3 linked regions of the Rhinolophus ferrumequinum genome follow. The protein of the gene in region 1 purifies or fractionates together with the protein of each later gene. This does not show direct contact. Links are inferred from orthologs where the notes say so. Each region holds a gene or a part of one and is shown in the gene's direction. Other genes may lie near its edges. The genes, in order: EXOC8, RALB and EXOC6B.

The links.
Region 2: the proteins of EXOC8 (region 1) and RALB purify together in Homo sapiens (affinity purification with western blotting; 6 studies listed by BioGRID and IntAct, counting the BioPlex papers as one, with this or other methods). This does not show direct contact. The link is inferred for Rhinolophus ferrumequinum from reciprocal best matches to the Homo sapiens genes EXOC8 and RALB.
Region 3: the proteins of EXOC8 (region 1) and EXOC6B purify together in Homo sapiens (affinity purification with mass spectrometry; 3 studies listed by BioGRID and IntAct, counting the BioPlex papers as one, with this or other methods). This does not show direct contact. The link is inferred for Rhinolophus ferrumequinum from reciprocal best matches to the Homo sapiens genes EXOC8 and EXOC6B.

The regions. Positions count from the first base shown.
Region 1 is NC_046310.1:25,594,256-25,598,001, forward strand, and holds the start of EXOC8 (exocyst complex component 8), read left to right. Parts: upstream 1-1,484; 5' UTR 1,485-1,612; coding exon 1,613-3,746. Other genes in the region: DNA-dependent metalloprotease SPRTN, read right to left, coding at 764-984. UniProt on the Homo sapiens protein: Component of the exocyst complex involved in the docking of exocytic vesicles with fusion sites on the plasma membrane.
Region 2 is NC_046291.1:91,173,980-91,177,725, forward strand, and holds the start of RALB (ras-related protein Ral-B), read left to right. Parts: upstream 1-1,371; 5' UTR 1,372-1,518; intron 1,519-3,746. UniProt on the Homo sapiens protein: Multifunctional GTPase involved in a variety of cellular processes including gene expression, cell migration, cell proliferation, oncogenic transformation and membrane trafficking.
Region 3 is NC_046296.1:18,747,163-18,750,908, forward strand, and holds the start of EXOC6B (exocyst complex component 6B), read left to right. Parts: upstream 1-896; 5' UTR 897-1,008; coding exon 1,009-1,121; intron 1,122-3,746. UniProt on the Homo sapiens protein: Component of the exocyst complex involved in the docking of exocytic vesicles with fusion sites on the plasma membrane.

The DNA.
Region 1 (3,746 bases):
AGGCAACAGCTGGAAGACAATCCGGTTTCGCCCTGTTCCTCCCGACAAGCTGTCGCCACTCAGCCAGATCTCCATTAACACTTCTCCAAAACGGTAATAGAAGCCTATATGGAGACCTGGACTTGAAACACAATTCTGTATCATATCTTAATCTGTTTTATTTTGTTTTGTAACAAAACCAAGCAGGATGGTACACAAGCGCATCTTAAACTTGTAACTGCGTTCCTGTACAAAGTAGGTTATTTCAAATTGGAATTTCTCAGCCTTAGTGTGTAGGAAAGGGATCCTTTTAGCGGCGTCCCTGAAGATTCCTGGGGTCCAGAAACGGGGCACGTCCACCCCGCCCACTACACAGTGGAGGTGCCCTAAGGAGCACCGCGGAGGACAGCACCCCGTCCTCGGCACTATTTCTTTGGGGCGCACCGGTTGCTGCTCCTTCCTGGGTCCTAAAGCACTACCGTGTGACAAATCAGATATGCGTTCATTTATTTTCAAATGAGGTAAGCGTCAAAGAAACGTTTTTTCTCACTGTATCCATTACAAGTCAAACGGTAGCGGGGTGGGCCATACAGCTTTCTTAAAGTTGTCTGAGAGAGAGGGGGGCAGGGAGAAACACACCAGAGGAGCTGTCGGGTCCAAAACCAGAACCCCTCGTTTAACGGACCCTGAAACCGTCGGGGCGGAGACAGAAAAGAATCCCAGGGCCGGGGCTGCGGGGAAACCGCCAGCCCGCCTCTCTTCCCCCGCGGGGCTCGGGACTCACATTGTCATGCGCAAGCTCCACTTCACTTCAACGGCCTCCAGCTGACCCCAGAAGTACTGGTCGTTGAACTGCATAAACAGGGCCTGTAAATTCGGGGTGGGGTCCACCAACTCCCAGGACGCGTCCACCAGGGACAGAGGCTCCTGGACCAGACCGTGCTCCGCGACCTCCAAGTTCCACTCCTCGTGAAGCCGTAACGCCAACACCAGGTCCTCATCCATCGCTGCCAAGATCCCAGGCGGGGTCCGCAGGCGTTAGGCTCGCCGCACGGCCGGGAGGTTCTGAGGGCCCCGTCGAACTCCTAGGAGATAACCGATTCTCGAGCTGCTCTCGCTTCAGCGCGCGGATCTCGCGAGAAATCCAGGAAAACTGCCTCGAGAATGAGAGTTGAGCTTGCCCCAAACCCCGAAGCCAAAACTCGAGGGTTTAATAAAAAGAACTCAGCACATCTCCTAGCGGGCTCAAAACTTGGGTTCCCAGGGCGTGGGGCTGAGGAAGGTTTCAGGAAGCTGGTTATTGCCTTTAAAAGACGACCACAACTTCCGACATACAGTCAGGCTCGGCGCATGCGCAATGCCTACTTCTCTGTGCCTCGCCCTCCACTAACTTCCGCAACCGCTCTTCTAGCGCAAGCGCTCAATGCCGGGGCGCTCCCGCGCAGGCGCACTGTGTGCACTTGGCCCCTTGCGCACGCGCACAATCTGAAGCTCAGACCCGGGCGCAGGCGTACTGGTCCGTCTTCAATCCTGCTTCCTCAGCCCTGGAGCTCCGCGGGGCCTGGGTGGGCCGGGACAGCGGCAGCACCGGCGGCGGCGACAGTGACAGTGACTGCGTGAGACTCAGACGGAAATGGCGATGGCAATATCGGACAGTGGGGCGAGCCGCCTGCGGCGGCAGCTGGAATCAGCGGGCTTTGAGGCGCGGTTGTACGTGAAGCAGCTCTCGCAGCAGTCGGACGGGGACCGGGACCTGCAGGAGCACCGGCAGCGCATCCAGGCGCTGGCGGAGGAGACGGCGCAGAACCTGAAGCGCAACGTCTACCAAAACTACCGGCAGTTCATAGAGACGGCCCGCGAGATCTCCTACCTGGAGAGCGAGATGTATCAGCTCAGCCATCTGCTGACCGAGCAGAAGAGCAGCCTGGAGAGCATCCCGCTTACCCTGCTGCCGGCTGCCGCCGCCGCCGGGGCCGCCGCGGCCTCCGGAGGGGAGGAGGGAGGAGGTGGCACTGGGGGCCGAGACCACCTCCGGGGCCAGGCCGGTCTTTTCCCCGCGCCGGGGGGTGCCTCCCGCGACTGTGCGGGGCCGGGCGAGGAAGGAAAGCAGCGCACTCTCACCACCCTGCTGGAGAAGGTGGAAGGCTGCAGGCACCTGCTGGAGACGCCGGGACAGTACCTGGTGTACAACGGGGACCTGGTGGAATATGAGGCGGACCACATGGCCCAGCTGCAGCGGGTGCACGGCTTTCTCATGAACGACTGTTTGCTGGTGGCCACCTGGCTGCCGCAGCGGCGGGGGATGTATCGCTACAACGCCCTCTATCCCCTAGACGGTTTGGCCGTGGTCAATGTGAAGGACAACCCGCCCATGAAGGACATGTTCAAGCTGCTAATGTTTCCCGAGAGCCGAATTTTTCAGGCGGAAAATGCCAAAATCAAACGAGAGTGGCTGGAAGTGCTGGAGGAAACCAAGAGGGCCCTCAGTGACAAAAGACGAAGAGAACAAGAGGAGGCGGCTGCCGCTCGAGGGCCGCCCCAGGTGACCGCCAAGGCCAGTAACCCGTTTGAGGACGAAGAGGAAGATGAGCCGGCCGTCCCTGAGGTAGAAGAGGAGAAGGTGGACCTCTCGATGGAATGGATCCAGGAGTTGCCGGAAGACTTGGATGTCTGCATTGCGCAGAGGGACTTTGAAGGGGCCGTGGACTTGCTAGATAAACTGAACCATTACCTCGAAGATAAGCCCAGCCCCCCTCCTGTAAAAGAACTGAGGGCCAGAGTGGATGAGCGCGTGCGACAGCTCACCGACGTGCTGGTGTTTGAACTCTCCCCTGATCGGTCCCTGCGGGGTGGTCCCAAGGCCACTCGCAGGGCGGTTTGTCAGCTCATCCGGCTGGGCCAGTGCACCAAGGCCTGTGAGCTGTTTCTGAGAAACAGGGCGGCGGCGGTGCACACAGCCATACGGCAGCTGCGCATTGAAGGCGCCACGCTGCTCTACATCCATAAGCTGTGCCACGTCTTCTTTACCAGCCTTCTTGAGACTGCGCGGGAATTTGAGACGGATTTTGCAGGCACTGACAGTGGCTGCTACTCCGCCTTTGTGGTCTGGGCGAGGTCAGCCATGGGCATGTTTGTGGATGCTTTTAGCAAGCAGGTGTTTGATAGCAAGGAGAGCCTTTCTACCGCCGCCGAGTGTGTGAAGGTGGCGAAGGAGCACTGCCAGCAACTGGGTGACATCGGACTAGACCTCACCTTCATCATCCACGCCCTTCTGGTGAAAGACATCCAGGGGGCTTTGCACAGTTACAAAGAGATCATAATCGAAGCCACGAAGCATCGCAACTCCGAGGAGTTGTGGAGAAGGATGAACTTGATGACCCCGGAGGCCCTGGGCAAACTCAAAGAGGAGATGAAGAGCTGCGGGGTGAGCAACTTCGAGCAGTACACAGGGGACGGCTGCTGGGTGAACCTCAGCTACACGGTGGTCGCCTTCACCAAGCAGACCATGGGCTTCCTGGAGGAGGCGCTGAAGCTGTACTTCCCCGAGTTGCACATGGTGCTTTTGGAGAGCCTGGTAGAAATCATCCTGGTGGCCGTTCAGCATGTGGATTATAGTCTCCGGTGTGAGCAGGACCCAGAGAAAAAGGCTTTCATCAGGCAGAACGCGTCCTTCCTGTACGAAACAGTCCTCCCTGTGGTGGAGAAAAGGTTCGAGGAAGGTGTGGGGAAACCCGCCAAGCAGCTCCAGGACCTGAGGAATGCTTCTA
Region 2 (3,746 bases), on another chromosome or scaffold:
TTGAACCCATGCTTCCTGATTCCAAACCTGTGCACTTAATCCTTAGTCTTGGGTCTGAATTCTCTTCTAGGTTATAAATACCAGAGAGCTTCCTTTTTGAGAAACCTCCTCCTACTTCTCTCCCTTATATTATTAGTAACTAGCAGAATTTCTGTCCTATAATTAGTGTGCAATAAAAGTCTTTAATGTATATGAAAAGGGTAAAAACAGAACACTTAAGATTGTAGACTAAGACTAGCATATCCTGGTTACATGTTTTTTTTGTTAAGCCTGTTAAGACTAAGTTAAATCTGTGCTTTTTGATAAAGCTGTTGGTGGAAGCCCTGGATCTGTTAGTTGCTTATACATAGCAATCTAATCAAGGCACAAAGCCTCTCATATAATACACATGTATCCTAATGTGTACTTATCAACAACGAAAGAATTAATTACATGGTGCTAGCTGCTGTGAGTATCAAATTGAACAAGCACTACTTTCCTTCCCCAGAAATTATAGAGGTGGATATTTAAACAAGGAATTGTAATACACTGTGTCCCGCTGTGAGGTTTGCGGAGGGGTCAGATGGGCCAAAATCCTGAGAAGGCGGAGGGGGGTGGGAGGATTCAGCTCTAGGAAGGGGAGGTTAGTTAGGAAAATCAACCCGAGGTCAAACCCTATATGGACAGAAAATGAAAAGTTTCCGTGCCTTGGAGGCCGATGGCCGGCGGGGGGCAGGTTGTGAGAGAAAAACCTGTCGGGCATGAGCTTGCCCACTGCACTTCCTGCCTCAAGGCTACCGCTGGGGTTAGAATTCTTGACCTTGTAATCTGGGTCCAGTTATTGCTAGAATTGATCAAGTAACTCCACTGCTGCTAATGAGACGTCATTAGCCAAGCGAGTAGTGGCGGCAGGCGGAGGTCGCGCCACAGGAGACCCTGGCCGGCGTCCCACGGGCCACCTGAACCCTTGGACACCCGCGCGCCGCATCGTCATTTTCCTTGCTTTTCTGTCTCAGGTCAGTCCTTCCCTTTTACTTTCCACTACTTTGGTCTCGCCCTCATCTAAATTCACGACGGACGCGCCCTCCGCCGCCCACGCCCAGGGACCCCAGACCTGGCTCCTCCACTACAGCAGTGGTCACGTGCAACTCGTCCGGCGGTGGAAAGTAGGCACTGGAGGGGGGCGGTGTAGGCGTGCCGAGCCCGCCCCTCCCGCCTGAGGTGGCTTATCATTGGTTAAGCCTTCTCCCCAGCCTCCTGAGGCTTGGAAATTCTGCTTCGGATTGGGTAATAGGCTCTCAGTGGGCGTGGCCACCCAGGACAGGCACGGAAGCGAGGGCGCGCTCTCGAGAGGTGGGGTTGCCTAGGCGACGCCGGGGGCGCGCTCGGGGGTGGGGAAGCTAGCCCAGACTACTCGATGACAAATCGCCTGGGGACTGCTGGGGTCCGGCCCCTGGAGGAGGCAAAGGAGAGGGCGGGGCGGGTTTAAGATCGGCGGGCCGGCTGCGGACGGCCGAGGCTGCGCCGGACGGAGCCCAGGTAAGAATGTCCGCGCGCGGGCAGGAGCCCTCGGAGCGGGGTGGGGCGCGGGCTGGGGAAGTGGGGTGCGTCGCCCTGAGCTTGGTGTCCGTCTGACCCCGCGCTCTCCGCTCTGGGCTGTGGCCGGCGGTCGAATACCTCGCGCCGCGAGGCCGGCGGAGGGCGACGCTGGAGCAGCGGCCCCGGGAGGTACCCGGGAGAAAGCCTCCGGGCCTCCCAGACCGGTCTGGAGCTGAGGAACTGGGGGCGGCGCCCCAGCCTCTCCCTTTTCGCCGCTCCTTCCCTTTTCCCACAAATGGCCTCTGCTTCCACTTCCTGTTCACTTCCTCAGCCCCTTAGTTGGCGCTCTGGGCAGGATAAAAGCTAAAGTGTTGCAAAAACTTATTAGTACCTTAAAAACTTGGACTGAACAGGGGACGTGTTCCAAAAGTTGCTGAGTTGCTGGGTCTGTTTTTGGTTCTGTCTTGCACATGAGCATAAAGTTGTTTCTTTGCGACCCCTCCCCCCAATTTCCTTATGATACATACTAGCACTGAACGTGGCTTCTAATAGGAATCACCATGGACTTGAACTGTTTGCCTGGACCAGGGTTCAGCACCTCTCTTCTTGCCCTTTTATAGGTATATAAATAAGGTTATCCACGGTTGTTTCAGAACTGCTAGTGGCAGAGGTAGCAGCAGCGCCCAGACTACTTGTTTAAAAGTGTCCCTCTCTTTGCTAATTTTTGGGTGAATACTGGAAACGTAACTTTGATGTTGTTATCGTTGAGTTTCTGGGGAGAAGGTCTTGTGTTGTTGCTGATTTAGAATTGCCAATGGAAGAGGCTTGGCTGATTGTTCATTTGAGCCATCTGTGACTTGATTTGAACCCTTGTAGAACAGTGAACTTCCTGCTTTGTCCTAGTTTCCTAACCTCATTTCTTTTTGTTAAGTTTTGGAGATGGATAGTGGGCACTGATTATCAGAGAGGACAGCATACCTTTCAGGTGCATAAATGACCCATGTTCTAAGCAGAGCAGTAAGGTTCTTGGATGTTAAAGCTCGAAACAAGGTCATGTCTCTTAGACCTGGAACCAATAGAATATCGAAGTTCCAGAAATGGGACGGCTGTGGAAGGTAGCATTGAATATTGGGAAGAACAGGAGGGCAGGGTGTGAAGACCTAGGTTTGATGCTGGTTCTGAAACTTGATTATCTTGAGTATGACTTTTCACCTCTCTGTGCTGCAGAATCCACAGCTGTAAAAAGGTGATATTTATCCTACTTGTGGGCTTAAAGGAGCCAGGAATGTTTAAGGCGTTCTTTGTGGTAGTGGGGGTGGGATGGAGGTGGGGGTGGGATGGAGATAGGGGTGGGAATGAGGCCAGGGGTACACATCCCCTCTGTGGTTTTAGTCGAGTCAGTGAGTCGACTTTCCTCTGGCCACATTTGGGTCTTTCCTTCTGTGGGGACAAAGCTCTGGAGAGCAGTTTCCAGGCTCTCGGCCTTACATGGAGGGGTGCTGGCTCGGGTAGTAGATGACCGTCGGCTGTGGCTAGTTGACCGTCAGCTGTAGCCGGTTGGGGTTAGCCAGTTGGCCACCGATATAACTGCCGCTGCTTTGGGGAGGGGGAGTCGGTCGGTTGGCAGAAAAGCGGACAGCAGGTCGCACGTGTGAATCCAGCCTCCGGTGAAACCATAGTGGTATGACTCCCCTACCTATGGCTCCGTGGGGGTTCCTTTTTGGCCTAGCCACATCCTGCGTTCTTATGTGGGGAGTGGGAGCAGAGACCCCGCAGGCCGCCCCGTAGGCCGCCCCGCATGACACCTTCCTTTTCTGTTCACACTATTTCTCATTGGAAAAGTAGGTACTCTTGTCTGAGATCTCAGCAAGATTTTCCTATGCCTGAGGAGTAGAACCTTTCCCAGGATTTTGTCTGGAAGAAGTGGGGGTATAGTTATTAGATATCTTTTGGGAATGTGGGACCTAAACACTCAAAGACAGGAAAACACGAATTAGAGCCTTAAATGGGATCTAAATGGATCTTGGTAGAAGGTGGAAGAAGTAGAAAAGTTCTAAATACTTGCCTTCATTCTTTAAGGTTCTTGCCTTGGCTGAAGATGGCTTGAGACTGGAAATTTTTAAACCAGAGTTGAGATAATCCTTTGTGCCACATCACTCAATCCCACAATACCTCTTTGAATTCAGTTACTAAATTCTTATCCAGTCGTAGAATTTGGAAACATTGTT
Region 3 (3,746 bases), on another chromosome or scaffold:
TGTTTCCCTGTCTGCAAATGTTCTATTTCTGCCCACCTTGAACACTTGATCTTGAGTGTTTCCTAATGCCACGGTTCTGATTGTGTCACTCTTCTTAAAAACCCTCAGTGAATTCTCATTTATCGTGTTATGTAACAATTCCAACAGTGATCAATAAATATGATTTCTAAATTCTAATCTGGGGAGTTTAGGAAATGCATGATCAGAACGTCCAGATGTAGAACCTTTAGTCTGTATTTAAAAAAAAGTTTCTAGGTGTTTCTTACACAGTTGGTTGTTGGACCAGTGAAGCCATTAGAATAAAGTACAAATTTCTCCGCCCAGTATTTCTTTCTACTTTTCCAGCCCATCTCTTACTATTACTTCTTCTACATAAGTGCAAATGGAGTTCTTGCTGGCTTTCTGAGAACTCCTCACACCTTCCAGTAACACGGCTTAAACTTCTAGGCCCAGTTTATGAATCCTTCGCATCCAGAGGTGATCTCTGGGCTCGATTCTCTGAACTGGCTGACAGCCACGTTCTGCCTTACCTCTTAGTTTGGGTTTCTCCAGCTTTCTCCTCCGCACCCCCTAACCCCCCAGCTATTAACGTATCTGTCCGCAGAAACCCAGTCCTTTCTTATTATTTGCGCCTATAGAGCCTTTTGAGATTTGTGGCAAGGGTCTTAAACAAAAATGTGTGGGATTAGTGCCATTGCTTGACTTGACCACCGCTGCATGCTGTCGTTTACTGTTCCCGGCTTATAGGGCGGCTTTCCACTCGTATTTACAGATTTAATGAATAAATGAACGCAACCCTACCCGACGTCGCCCAGAAAACTACAAATCCCAGAAGGCATTGCGTGGAATGTCGGCGGACGCAGTGACGAAGGGGGCGTGCCGAGCTTGAGGGCGGGGTCGTCCTGCGGGTAGCCAGAGGCTGGGGAGGCTCTGGAGCTTGGGGTGAGAGTGGGAGCGAAAGGTGAGCTGATCTGAAGAAGGGGACACTCTGCCGGGCGCCCCCATTCTATGGATCGGGGTAAGATGGCGGAGGCGGAGAGCCTGGAGACAGCTGCGGAGCACGAGCGGATCCTGCGAGAGATCGAGAGCACCGACACGGCCTGCATCGGGCCCACGCTCAGGTACCCGGGGTGCCCGGGCCATGGACCGGCGGGCACGGGTGGGACGGGCGGGGGGCAGGCGCCTTCGGGACCGTGCGTGTGGCCTTCTGCCCGCAGTGCCAGCGCCGGCCCCTCCCTTCGGCGAGCCCGGCGAGCGCCCTCCACCCTCTGCGAGGCGGGTCTCGCTCCGGCGCCCCGACGTGGGGTCCCTGCCCGATCGCCGGCTCACAGCCCAGACCCTCCGAAGGCTCCTCTTGCCTCCCTCCGGGCCGGGGCAGCCTTCGCCCTTCCTTCGAGGCCAGCCTGGCTCCGGGCAGCTGGAGCGCGCCGGACAGATGGTGGCTCTTAGCAGGCAGCTCTTCCCCTGAGGACATCACCCTTCTCCCTCCGACTCAAACCCCGTCCTGTCCTAGACAGACGCCCTGCTGTCCAGACGAAACAGAATTGCACCCCGGTCTGTTGCGCGGAAATTAAACTCTTGCCGTGGTGAAATCACAACCCCTGCTCGGAAACGAGTTCCTGAAAATCCTAGGCCGGGAAGGAAGGAAGGAAGTTTCCTTCAACCCGCGCCGCTCTCCTGGGAGCCGCTGCTCCCTGAACCCTGTCGGGAGGGCGACCTCTCCGGAAGGTGCTGCCTTGCGGGAGCCTCGTCGCCGAGAAAAAGTTACCCCCCTCCCGTCCCTGTTACCATCACGTTGCCCACACACCCCCGTTTTATTTGGAGATGTCAAAACACACCCCCACCTACTTCAATTGGTTTAATAACCCGTAAGTACCCCTTACTATGTGCAGCGCAAGACATTGTCTTCAGCAATTTACAAATGTAACTGATTCAGGCGGCGAAACCATCCTGTTCGGTAGGTCCTATTATTACCTTCATTTTACAGATGAGGCACTGAGAGGTTAAGTGACTTGCCCAAGGTCACTGAGAAAATAAAGTGGGGGCGTTGAGATTCCTACTCAGGCAGTCTGGATCCAGACTCTGAAGTCTTAACCTCTGTCGTTTTGCCTCCTTTGGGGATTGGATTACCATCTCCCTGTACTTCCGGTTACTTACTTACCTAGCCCAGTTTCAAACCACCTTTTCCTTTCCCCTCGGTTTCCTAGAGCCCTAGAACTAACTCATCTGCCTCCTTCCTGTGGTACCTTCTGATCTCCACGTAGCCAACAGATCATTGTCTTAACCACCTTGTCCAGTCTTAGGTCACTGCTCCTCCCTTCAAAAGAGAGTTATTACTCACTGCTTGTTTTTTCATGGGGAGAGTTGCCTCATGAAAGAGTGTTTCAAGGAGGGGCAGGCTGGAGACTTGACCCTTATCTCCCCCTGCACAGCTTCCTTCTGTTAGCACAGTTCTTCCAGTGCCATCCCTGAACGTGACCATTCCTAGTAGTTTGCCTTTTGTCCCTTATTGCATGATGATCACGACCATCATGCTCCTCTCTCTATCCATTTTCCTGAGCTCTTCAGGGTGAATGATCGCTCCTCTTTTCATTATCTTTTATAAAAACTAACGGTTACTTACTAGTCTTCTAAGTGCATTATTAATGGGTATTAGTATTTGGTTTTCATAAAACAAAGTGTTACTAAAGTTAGCTGAAGATGCTGCTTCAGTATTCTCCTAAGAAATTTGGCTGGTGAGCTGCATTTGGCAGCCAAGCAAAGCTCCCACTGGAGCAGATGGGATTACCAGGGGTTTTAGGAAGTGTTCTTTCTCAGAACACGATCAGTGTTGTCTTCAATTGGTTATGGTTTTCAATTGCTGTAGTTCTTGGTTTATAGGATAATGACTTTAGTTTCGTGTTATCAGTTTAGTTTGTTGTGATTTATTATGTTAACTCTCCGCTGAATAGTAATGCATATTTGTATCATCTGAATTTTGGCCTGTAATTTTCTAGTATCTTGACTTAAGAATGTTGCATTATGGCTCAAATATAAGTTACCGTTTCCCCCTAAAATTTGCTTCATTGTTCTCACTGAGTTCTTTTCCCACAGGAAAGTGGGGTTTTGTGGGGGTAGATGGATGAAGGGATCTTTTGCCCTAAGTGGATCTGGTAAAGAGAAAAATGGGTTAGAGACCTCTGCACTATCCTATCCGTTTTGGCTGCTTTTCCTTACTCCCTGTATCATTCTCAGGGGCTCTTCATTTTTGGCCTCATCCTGTCTTTGGCAGATAAACCTAAATCTTATCATCAGAACCAAGACTCAATCACTTGACTGTCCTATAATGCAAGTATTTATTACCCCCGTCTTTGTTTTCAGTCCAGCTTGTCTCTGCCCATATTCATAGGGGATGATCTCAGCTTTTTTCCTTATCCCGTTCAGAGGTAGCAGCATGCACAGACTTGATGTGTTAGATCCATGCTTTACCCTGGATGCACCTCCATCATCATTATATCCCGTTTTTCCACCACAGTACAGTCATTAACCAGATTTGATTAAGGCACTAGGCTCTGTTCCCTAACTTTACCCTCAACTGTTAACGCCTTTACCCCTTTTCATAATCTTTCCTATTTCTTCCATCTTTTGGGGTAGCATTTTTTAAGGCACCAGATTCTTAGGTGTTCCTGAGTAACTGAAGAGAAATGAAAGAACAGGGAGTAACCGCAAATTGATAGCAGATAGAAGATTAGTATACCCATCCCTAA